Drosophila melanogaster: one gene and its partner. The protein of the gene in region 2 interacts with the protein of the main gene of each other region in a pairwise test. Each region holds a gene or a part of one and is shown on either strand. Other genes may lie near its edges.

Region 1 (5,534 bases), on a different chromosome or scaffold from region 2:
TAGCAAGGTCACACTGTTCAATCGCACACTTTTTTTGCTACAAAGAGCGTGATTTATTTTTATAGAAGCAAAAAAAGCAATAATTACTTAATTTACTGCCATAAATATACTGAGAATAAGAACCCAGAATGTCGGATAGTGATTTGGATGCCTTACGCGCGCAGCGCATGTCCCAAATGCAGTCGCAATTCGTAAGTGAAATATTTGAGTGGCTCCAAACCGGCTAGATTCCTCTAGAGAATTCCAAAAATAGTCATAACTTGGAATGAAAGCAAATTAGACTATATAAAATATAATAAAAATGTTAAGAATACATTAGCAATGGTATGCTTTGTTAGTTCTTATAGACACCTTCCCTATGAGTCATCCTTCTCGACTGGGACACCTGTTTCTTTAAAGGGCAATCCTTCAATGACCTTAACTCCTTTTTTCCTATTTTTAGGGCGGCGGCAATGATGCGGAAAAGCAACAAGCCCAGCAGGAGCAGATGCGCGCCCAGGAGGAAATGAAGCACTCGATATTATCCCAAGTTCTGGACCAGCAGGCCAGGGCACGACGTATGTGGATCTAGACCTTGAATATCTCTAGCTAATAACTTATAAAATATCATTTAGTTAATACCCTCAAAGTCAGCAAGCCGGAGAAGGCGCAAATGTTCGAGAACATGGTCATCCGCATGGCCCAGATGGGTCAGGTGCGTGGAAAACTTGATGACGCCCAGTTCGTCAGCATCCTCGAAAGCGTCAATGCTCAGATGCCGCAGAGCAAGTCCTCCGTGAAATACGATCGGCGGCGGGCGGCCATCGATAGCGACGACGACGAGGATTACGGCTGCTGATTCGTCCGAAATTCCGCCCAACATCTAATTTAAGTTATGCCCGCTCCTCACATCCGCTAAATCATGTTTATTACTTTTACTAACTTAAAACGAGAAACAAAACTAGATGCCCAAATACGTATGGACTTCTTTGTGTCAGATGGCGAATCTTAAAGCGTATTGGAAGTTCGTGCCAAGCGGCAATGACATACACTGACATAGGACTAGATTTGGCTTACATTTATATGCGGTAGAAAAGTGGTCTAGAGGAGGGGTGGGGTCTTCTACGACTTCTTATAGGGATTTATCATTTCATATTCTTGTATGTTCCTAGCTTTTTATGATCTTGCTCGGAAATGCACTATGAGATCATCTTATTTACTTTCTCTAACATTCACTCGCAATCAAAAGCTTTCACTAGATTCATTTTTAAGTTATCCCTTTACTCCTTCTTCTCGTGATCTTCATCGGGATCTTCTTCTGTGACCAAGCAATCGCCGCAGAAAATAGAGTACATGATGAGCGATAAGAATCCCAATGGCAGGCCGAAGATGACAGTGGTCAGCACGGGATTTCCCAGCCACATATCCCTTAATGCTCTTCGCACTTCGAACAGTGCCCGATTCAAACGTACAAAGTACGTATCTCCTCCATAGGCAATGGCACTTTCGTTGCGGATGGATTCTAGGAAAAGGTGCAGTGCCTGTGGAGTCATTTGCATTGGATCATCTTCGGGTATGAAGTGGTGTTGGGTGCTCGAATTAATCGCTATCAAGTGAGGCGTGGGCAGTTGATCCAAGATAATGGAATGTGCTATTGATGGCTCGCCAATCTGAAATGGAAATATTGATTAGCTCCAAATCGATAAAACTATGATAGAATCACTTACCCATCCAAATTGGAATTTGTCATGATATCGCGCCCTATGCTTTCTTATCACGCCCTCCACCATGTCCCGAAACTCCAGCTCATGCGTGGCTATCTGATTGAGCTTATCCTCCTGTACCACAGCCAAAACCAAGTACTTGTTTGTCTTGAGCAGCTGGTGGATGTTGAACCGAGTGACCTTTGGGAAGAGTGTGAACCTCTCCACGTTCACCCATTGGAAAACGGTTTCGTTCACTTCATTGGGGTCCATTTCGTGCGCCAAATGCCCATGCGGATAGAAGTGGTGCTGCTCTTCTTTGTAGACAATCACCGCTGGCAGTTTCTCAAAGTCAAAGTGTTGGGCAGCGATATCCTCGCTGGTGGCATAGAAAAATCCATGCTCTTGGTAACCTTCAGCTGCAGCATAGTATGTATCCCACACCACGCCCTCCTGTTGGCCTACGAAAATGAAAAATATCGTATGGGATCCCTTTAGCATGTCCACACTCTCCGTTCGCGTGACCAGCTGAACTGGAGGCCCAGACATCCTTAAGGCATAATCCACCAGCTCATCGCGACCGCGGTCTCCGTTGTAGGTGAACTCCATGTTGCCCTTGATGAACATAATGGTGGGATAGCCACGAACCTGTAAGAATTTGGGGATGCTTATAAGGAACTTGGACCAAATATGGTATATTCTCACCTTGAACTCCTTCGCCGCCGCCGGATACTTGGTACAATCTAGGCGACCCACTCGAACGTTGGTGGCATGCAAAGCCTGAGCCACCAGAGCAAAAATGGGCTCCGTTTTCTTGCAGTAGCCGCACCACGGGGCATAGAACATGACCAACCATTGGCCCTCGTGTCGCACATCGATGAACCGGTCACTGAGCTCCAAAACCTTCGAGGATAGCCCCGTCGAACCCAGAGTCAGAAGCAGAGCTGTTGGTTTTGTAAATCATTTAGCATCAGCTTGGATTTTTTCTATTGTTCGTAATTTATTTACCACTTATGAGGCCGAAAATCCACATAGAATTTGGCGACATCCTTGCAGCAGGTTTAATTTGTACTTCCAAGTGTAATTTACGTGCCCCTTATTTGCTATATCATGCTTTCCGTTATTTTAATAGCTTCTTTACTTAATTTAATTAGTTGATTGGTTTAATTTTCAGTTCCAAATTATTTTCCTTCGGACCACAGCAACAACAAAAGAAAACATTTGCAAAAACCACCCCCTTTAGACTGACCAGATGTGGAAAATATCCAAAATACTTAAGGAGATACTCTTTAGTCCAATGCGTAAATTGAACAAGTTTATTTATTAATTTTGTAGTTGTTTGGATTATGTTTTTAAAAGATTATTGAACTCAAGATTTTCATTCTACTATAACCTTAAAACTAAAATGAATTCGAAATAAAAACTAATTAAATTTTTTTATATGCATCTCTAAGAATTTATCTTTAATAATGACATAGTTAATAATTACATTTATAAAAGAATTTTTAATTTTGAAAATAAGTTTTTGAGCGGCCATAGAGCGGCTGCCTAAGGGTTAATCTGGTATATTTTTAGTCAGATGGCAACTCTTCAGCTTTGTTTACCTCACAAAATAGACTATCTGGCAACTCTTAGGCACACACGTGCATCTCCAGAGGAATTTTGTTTCAGTTGTTGTTCCTTATTTCTTCTTAACTAAATAATTGTATTAACTAAATAAAATGACGAATAATGCGAAGAAGGAACCCCAGCAAAGGGGCAAGCATCAGGTGCATAATGTGCGCTTCTACACTATAAAGCCGCGTGAAATTGTCAGCTTGGCGTATAGTAAATCGAGCAAGTGCCTCGCTCTGAGTCGGTAAATTATTGAAAATTAAAAAAAACCTAATAATTACTGTGCAGTAAACTAATAAGTACACTCTTTGCAGTGCAACACCCGTCATTGAGCTATGGAACCTGGAGCACGCCCCGTATTTGGATCGTGTAATCCACCTGCCCACCGATTCTCATGTGGAATCTATAGCCTGGGCGGGAAACCGCTTATTTTCCGTGGATTTAAGTGGTAAACTGATCGAGTGGGATGTGATTAAGCTAAAACAACGATATGAGCACTCGCCCACTGGCAATGCTCTCTGGAGTATCGATGTGAATCCCGCGGAAACGGATATTGCCATTGGCTCAGAGGAAGGGCACATCAACATCCTGAGTATTGAGAATGACGAAATCACCTATAAATCCCTATTTAACAAGCAAAAAGGTCGCGTTCTCTGCATCAAGTTTGATAAGACTGGAACTAAACTGGTGACCGGCACTGAGGGATTTGTTCGCATTTGGAACGTCCTCAAGGGAACCACTCTGCACACGATGACCCTATCCGAAAAGAACGTAATAGTTTGGTCCCTGCAGGTGCTATCCGATAATACGATTATTGCCGGTGATTCAGCGGGATTTGTTACCGTTTGGGATGCGGATAACGCGACACAGATAGATTCCACACGAGTTCTGGATAAAAACGTATTTGCCCTGGCTGTGAATAATAAGGAGGATCGATTAGTTTGCAGTGGAATGCAGCCGCCGCTCATCCGGATTTTCAGCAAAACCAAGATAAAGCGGGAAGAGTCCACCAGCGAGCGTTGGATTAAATTCCTACAGCGCGATGCCCACAAACACTATGTGAAATCCCTGTTGGTTATCGACGATCAAATTTATTCGGGAGGCAGGGATGGCATATTGACCATTACGTCCAGTGAACGAATGCAGGCACATTTGTCGCAGCATGCTCCCTTTCTGAAAGGTTCCGTAGCTTCCATGGCAATCAGTAAAAAGCTTTTGCTTTTGCGATATCCCAACAGCGTGCACCTGTGGCGCTTGGGTTCTGTGGCCCCGCAAGGCGAGGACAAGAAGAAACCCTGGGCACTGCCCGTCGGCCACACGGAGGAACAACTTCTGGAGCTGCCACCCCAGAAACTTCTCCAACTAAATGTCAAAGAGCACAACTTTATACAGTCTGCTGCCATTTCATCAGATGCAAACTGGATTTGCTACTCTACCTTAAAGGAACTCCGAATCAGTCGTTTGAAAAGTGATCCCCTGCAGGTGGAGCGTCTGGTAGACGATCTTCCCGAGGAACTTCAACCAGCCAGTCATATAATTTTCACAAAGCAGGGAGATCTAGTGCTGCTCAACCCGCAGAACAATCATCTAAGTTGGTTTACTTTAGAGGAAGATCTGGTTACATTCAAATATACCATCGATTTGAGTGAGAAGTGTAAGAATACGATTAGCCACGTGGTTATCTCTTCGCATGGCGAATACATTGTGGCTGCGAGCTCAGACCACATAATATCAGTTTGGAAACTACATGGAAAACAATACAAGCACCTGCTGAACCTACCAAGACACCGAGCAGGTACCACCGCCCTATCCATGCACGAGGATTACCCACGCGTGGTGGTCGCCTACGCCAATGGCCAGCTGGTGGAGTACGATTTGGTCAATCGGATATTCACCTGTGAAACTAATGAGTACCTGATACCCGAGACCAGGCGCCATTGCATCAATGGAATCAGCCTGGATCCACAAAATCGTAATATATTTATTGTTCACACCGAGGGCAATTTGTATGTGTTGGAGAGGGATCAGCATCTGGATCCCAAAGAGCTTGTGAGCAACAGCAAGTCTAAAAAGTTATCAAATGGAAACCGCTCTTCAGTTGATGGCGGCTCAAAAGGCCTGAGCCTCAAGACGACTCTGTCACGACAGGTAAGATTGGTAGGTCTGTTTACGCACAAGACTTTCATTTTGTAACACTTTGGCTCACAAGGTAATCTTAATTCATCCATGAAATAAGAA
Region 2 (6,151 bases):
AATATTGCAAAATTTATGCCAGCTTCGAAATAAAAACAAGTGCCCGGCATTCCGGCTCGTTTTACGAGGCAAACAGCGTAACTTGCCCGATTTTATGTTGTTTTGTTAGCCAAGCAACAGGTTGCAGGTGGAAAATCGGCAGGTGAAACCAACCAACCACATGTATGTAGAGAAGTGCCTCCAATTTGCTGCCCAATGGAACCGCAGATAAACAAGGCAATAAGCGGACAACGGGCCGCATACGCAATTGCTGCCGTAGCTCTTCATTAGATTGGATTGTATTGGATTGGATTGGATTGGCCGGTTGTGAAAGAGGTCCTGACCCGGTCCTGGGCCTCATTACTTCAAATAGAGCGCTGACCAAACGATTTAATTATACCGCCGACGCCCGACAGTTGGCCGCCACTCAGGTGGAGACCGGGTTCGGTTATATTTCAAAACCTGACAACACACCGACCAGAGCGCTCAGTCGGCACGCATCCGCCGTGTGAGCCGCATCAGGATCAGCATTCCTTCGATAGCCTTCGAGCACAATTCGAGCACAAGAACTAACCAATATGACCAGAATGATAATACAAAACTCGGGCAGCTGGACACTTTGCGGAGCTGTACTCCTGTTCGTCCTGCCGCTGATACCCACGCCGGAGGCACTGCAGCACACCGAGGAGGGTCTCGAGATGCTTTTCCGCGAGCGGTGAGTTGTCAACTCCATTGACATCGAACCGTTCCGATGTCTATGTCTCCATCTTTTAGTTCCCAATCGGACTGGGAGAACGTGTGGCACCAGGAGACGCACTCCCGCTGCCGTGACAAGCTGGTCCGCCAGCTATATTGGGCCTGCGAGAAGGACATTTACCGACTGACACGGCGCAACAAAAAGAGGACGGGCAATGATGAGGCTTGGATCAAGAAGACAACCACGGAACGTAAGTTGTTGAATCGAAATCCATTCCAACCAAAGACGATTGGAATTTCAAGCGATGTACACATGTACATCTATGCTATAGATCCATTGATATCGATATGATACCACCTGCTGTCTTTCCAGCTGATGGCTCCACCTGGCTGCACGTGAACTATGCCAACATGTTTCTGCGAAGTCGTCGATCGGATGGAAACACTCCATCGATATCGAACGAATGCTGCACCAAGGCGGGCTGCACCTGGGAGGAATACGCCGAGTATTGTCCATCCAACAAGCGACGCAATCACTACTGATTGGCCATCGACGTTGGATCTGCTTAGATATATATATATATATACGAACAAACAAATATATATTCGCTTTTTTTTTCGTGGTTGTTGTTGTTGATGTTCTTGTTGTGGTCAAATAAAATAAACAAAAGGTTTCGGTTAAATAAAAAGAAACTTTACTGGCTTTAACTACAAATTTCGCATAATAAAAGCTAGATTTGCATGATATAACAAATTATATTAATCAATCAATGTTATACAAATTTAACAGTAAAATTGTCTTTGCAGATTAGAATAGTATAATTAAAAAAAAAAAAAAAATTTCACTTTATTCGACTTACAATGATCCTACTTTAAAATGCCCTAAATATGTCCTTAAAGTTATCTACAATACATTTTATACCTCTTCAATTTTGGGGGCAGTAACAATCCTGTAGTGCAATATCACCTAGTCAACAATATCGTCCTTTTCGTCCTTGTCGGTCACATCGATCTCCTTACGACTCTTTGCTGAACCCTCAGCCTTGCTGCAGTTGGGTGATTTTCGTGGCCTCTTCGAGGCCGAACCCTTTTCATAATGGGTGTCCAGCATCTCGAGCAGGCTCAACTGGCGGCCACCTGAACCCATTGATTTCGTGGCTGTACTGCTCGTTTTGGACGTTGTGCTGCTGTTGCTTATTTCTACGCTGCTTTTAGCCTCCAGACTAGCGGCCTCCATCATGGCATTGGCCTCCTCATCGTCCGACAGCATAAGAAGGGCCTGATCTTCCGAAGAATTTGAGTTATCTTGCGATAATTGCGCGGGCAATAGATCGGTACTTTGTTGCGTTATGGTGATTTGCGGTCGGGCGGGTTGCTTGTTGAGTTCTGGCGAGGATTTCGCTGATGTTTCTGATTTTCCTTCGCCTAATCCAGCTACTCTAGAGCTTCCAGCTTCGGCGGATGCTCCCTCTCCGGGCACATCTCTGACCTTCTTAAGTTCCTCTTTAATAAAATCATATAGCTTCTTTTTGGATGCCTTATTCTCACGCGGCTCCTTGGAGCTCTTCTCCTTAATAAGCCTACTGTACGACCTTAAAATACTCCAAAGCTGCTGCACCGTAGTCCCGTCATTTCGAAACAACAGCCACATTTCATGAAAATCATCCCTAAACTCCACATTTCCAAAGGTATAGTAGGCCAAAGGTCTGCCCAACTGGGCGCAGACCATAAGTTGCAGCAGGGCTTTCAGATAGGAGTCACCGCCGAATGCGCCGCAACCCCAGTTACCAGTTGCCACACCCGGTGGCGGCGTCACCATCCAGTGAACAAATCCAATGTACGCCTTGTTCAGCTCCCTTTCCATGAGATCCTCGCGATATTGATGATGTGACTGGGCAAAATGTAGGGCATCGATTGCCACAATGGCCGTTTGTCGACGACCTGAGCTATCTCTTGGCGTTGAATCCTCAAAGTTGCCGGACCACTCGAAGCTTCCGGCATATCCCGTATAGTTACTATACCTTTCGGCGCCCAACATCACCAGGGCCTCGAATGGTCGCAGACACTCCGTAAAGAGTTTACCCACCAATAGCTCCGGACAGATAACAAAGCGTATCTCCTCCTGAACGCAGCCATGTCCCAAGACACCGCCACCCAAATATTTGTTGGCAAAGTCTACTTGCAGCAGTCCAATGCCCTCATCCTCGATTGTTCCCTCGGCATCCACGTGCAATGGCACATCACCCAACGGCGCCGCACTTTGGCTCCAGTCGATCAGATGTTCCGGCAATCCGCTCCGACGAACAAAGGTTACCACACCGGTGGGCACATTGCTGGCATCCCGCTCTGTGGGACACACGCGACGAAAATAGTGCATAATGCATTTAAGCTTCTCCAGAACTGCCGGTCCCGTCGATTGGTAAAGCCTTTTGATGGAATCGAATATATTTAACATACTTCGACTGAAGATATACGAATCTGGTGGACGCTCACCTGTTAAAGTTGATGTCTGGAAAAGTGCTGTACTCGGACTTCCTCTTGAGGGTGTTTCTCCGGGGAAAGGTGCACAGGAAGGCATTGGCCAACAGGCAGGAGATCTGCTGTTGGCTCAGGCTCAATGAGGCGTTCTTGTGGTGCTTGAGCAGCGGAACTGGCGATTGAATCAAGTCCGGTAGCCGCAATGCCAATCGGATAATGCGCGGCAATAGATCCTCGAAGAAAACCCGTGTTTCGCTCTCGTCCAGTTCCTCGTCGAGAAGTTGATGAAGGGCACGAAAGTGCCACTGATCCCTATAGGTGGTATTATATGATATTATCGCCGCCTGCAGTTCCTCACACGTCTTTATGGGCTGCAGAAGGGCTCGTTCGATCATTTCCCAGCGAAAATCGATGGTGGTGCTGCCATCCGGATTCTCCCTCGGATATTTCGACTCGGGCGCACAGGGCAGACGCACATGCTCGGAGTCCCACTTTCCCGGTGATTTGTAGGGGCGTGGCGGTGTTTCACGAATTGGCAGCTGGTACATAACCCGGTGGAGATTGCCGGCAGTCACTGGTGGCAAATTCTCCAATTCGAAAGGCTGCCGATTACGATGTATAGCCTCCATGGAAACTCCACGCCACGAATCATCTAGGGAGTTCGCCAGATTTTCCGGCTCCTCCTCCGTTTCTATTTCGGAAATCCCGCCATCCGGCGACTTCGACATCCTGGCGCAGTTTAAGCACAAAGCCTTGCCGAGTCGATTGGTCAGCACGGATGCACTTGCTCTGCGGCGATTTGCCGTAGATTGGTAAACCTTTTGGAATATCGGAAAAATCAAGTGTGACCTGAATTCTTGCATACCGGTGTTTTGGGGATGAGCGATAGCTGTGATGAATATCGCACTTTATAAATACCACACACTTCGATTGAAGCGTAGTGAATTGAAGCGTTTATATATCGAAATATATTCAAATATATGTTGGTATTCGTTTGAGAATGAATCAATAACAAATTCAAAATTGCATTGCCTTGAATTCGGCGGGCGAAAGTGTGACCATTACATGTGGTATTTTACCTCTCATTGTCGCTAGTATTTAAATACCAGCACGAGAAATACCAACACTGTGTCCGTTGCAATGCGAATTGCAAATATAACCGCCGAAGGAACAACAACAAACAAAAAGAAAAAAAAAACAAATCTTCCAGCAATTTGTCAACTATTTTCTCTAATTTTTTTTTAAAGTGTAAAACTATCATAACGAGCGCCAAGTTTTACGTTAAGTGAAAGGATTTTTTCCTGTCCTTCGTGCGGTAAAAATAATAGTGCATATTACCAAGGAAAATCAAGTTAAAGGCGTCTGCGAAACTTTTATAAATGTATTTAATACTCAAAAAGGTAAGAAGCGGCGGAAAGTAATTGCTGTTTTATGTTTTTATAATCACGTTTGGCAAGAAAATGTTATTTCGTTGACGTCAGTGGTCAAATCAAATTTTTTCAGTTTTTAACCCTTAATGTGGCACTGTCACTCGCACCTATGTATATATTTATGTGATTGTGGTATTTTGCTCAAGCTTACGTGTTGAAAAGAGGAAGAGAAACCGCTGCATACACGTGCAAAGACTCTGAGAATGGACACAAGAGAGCGAGAGAGGGAGAGAGAGAGAGCGCAGTTGTTTGTTTTGAAAGCGTCGCAAAAACAATACAAAAAAGGTCATACATAATTTGCACACACACTTGCATCTGAGGAAAACGCAAAAGCAAATTCACAGCTAGCTAAAAACCAAAATAAATATAATTTATGAAATGTACTTTTGCTAAAGTTCAACACACCTTTATCTCTCCGCGAAATTTGTTTGCACCATCTCTTTCTCTCCTTTTTGCGTAAACAAACGAAAAAGCTTTGCAAGGAGAAGCAAAAAAAAAAAACACAAAAACAAAAATCGAATTATCAGTAGAATTCTACAAAGAAGAGGCGTTTCTCTTCATCGCTCTTCGTACCTGAGCGTAGCCTTCAAATTTGCTTAGATTTCGCCTTGACCATAACCTAGAAATACTCGAAAAAAGTACTGTCAACTCTCAATAAGTTAAACGATCGATTTTCACATAAAGAGATAGAGAGAGAAAGAGACCAGATATTAAGTGAAATTTATTTTACTAAATAAATTTTCAGAAAAAGGTGTAAATCCCGAGCATTTAGATTTCGTTGATGAACTTTAACGCAATGGGAGTCTGCACTGTACATGTAGAGCTTTCTCTTTTCTCATTTGCGTCAGCGAAAATACTAGGAATAATCGGGGGTGGCGTTTCGGGGGTTGGCAAAAAAAACAAGCAACAACAAAAATGCATAGAGCCGAATAATCGCTTGGAAAAAGCGAGCGACGAAAACGCGATGTTAGTAAACTTTTCAAGGTCACCTCAAAAGCATGAACTTATACTAATCAACAGCTGAAAGAAGCAGAAGACTGCACTTCCATGAGTCAGTTTCAGAAATTAAACAAAACGAGGGAACCAAACCAATTTGAAAATTCAATTTACATATTTGTGGAAATTTCTGTTCTTTATTAATTAATATACAGATTTTAAAGAAATAATTCATTTTTGTATCCGAATTCTGATGCACTTCACACATAATTAAAGCAATGTTACCATAAATTATATGGTAGGCAGATTGTATTGTATGAAGAATAAAGTATGGAATAAGCATAAAATATAATAATATATGTATGTATAGAATAACATCAATGAGTTCTTTTTACGAGTGATCACTGTACACATATTTATGTGCGAAAGTCGAATTATATCATGTGATCCCGAATTGTTTGAAATGTTTGGGCTTAAAAGATCGAATAAAAACATCTGCAAATGGATCTAGAAGTTATTTATTTTGTTAAACGCCTTAATCTATAAGTATATTTATTCGCATTGACTTGCTTTTGATTGGGGGAGGCTTCAGTTGTATGCAATAAAAAACAAAACTGAAATGATAAATACAA

The links.
Region 1: the proteins of Parg (region 2) and Tmx3 interact in a two-hybrid assay, tested with the Drosophila melanogaster proteins (one large-scale study listed by BioGRID).

The regions. Positions count from the first base shown.
Region 1 is NT_037436.4:16,226,497-16,232,030, reverse strand, and holds Tmx3 (Thioredoxin-related transmembrane protein 3), read right to left. Parts: upstream 2,932-5,534; 5' UTR 2,731-2,931; coding exon 2,691-2,730; intron 2,627-2,690; coding exon 2,388-2,626; intron 2,331-2,387; coding exon 1,707-2,330; intron 1,650-1,706; coding exon 1,260-1,649; 3' UTR 892-1,259; downstream 1-891. Other genes in the region: PDCD-5 (programmed cell death 5), read left to right, coding at 129-191, 443-557, 615-838; l(3)72Dn (lethal (3) 72Dn), read left to right, coding at 3,404-3,540, 3,611-5,453.
Region 2 is NC_004354.4:3,667,487-3,673,637, forward strand, and holds Parg (Poly(ADP-ribose) glycohydrolase), read right to left. Parts: upstream 4,017-6,151; 5' UTR 3,882-4,016; coding exon 3,169-3,881; intron 3,102-3,168; coding exon 1,643-3,101; 3' UTR 1,351-1,642; downstream 1-1,350. Other genes in the region: Ilp7 (Insulin-like peptide 7), read left to right, coding at 558-694, 754-926, 1,049-1,218.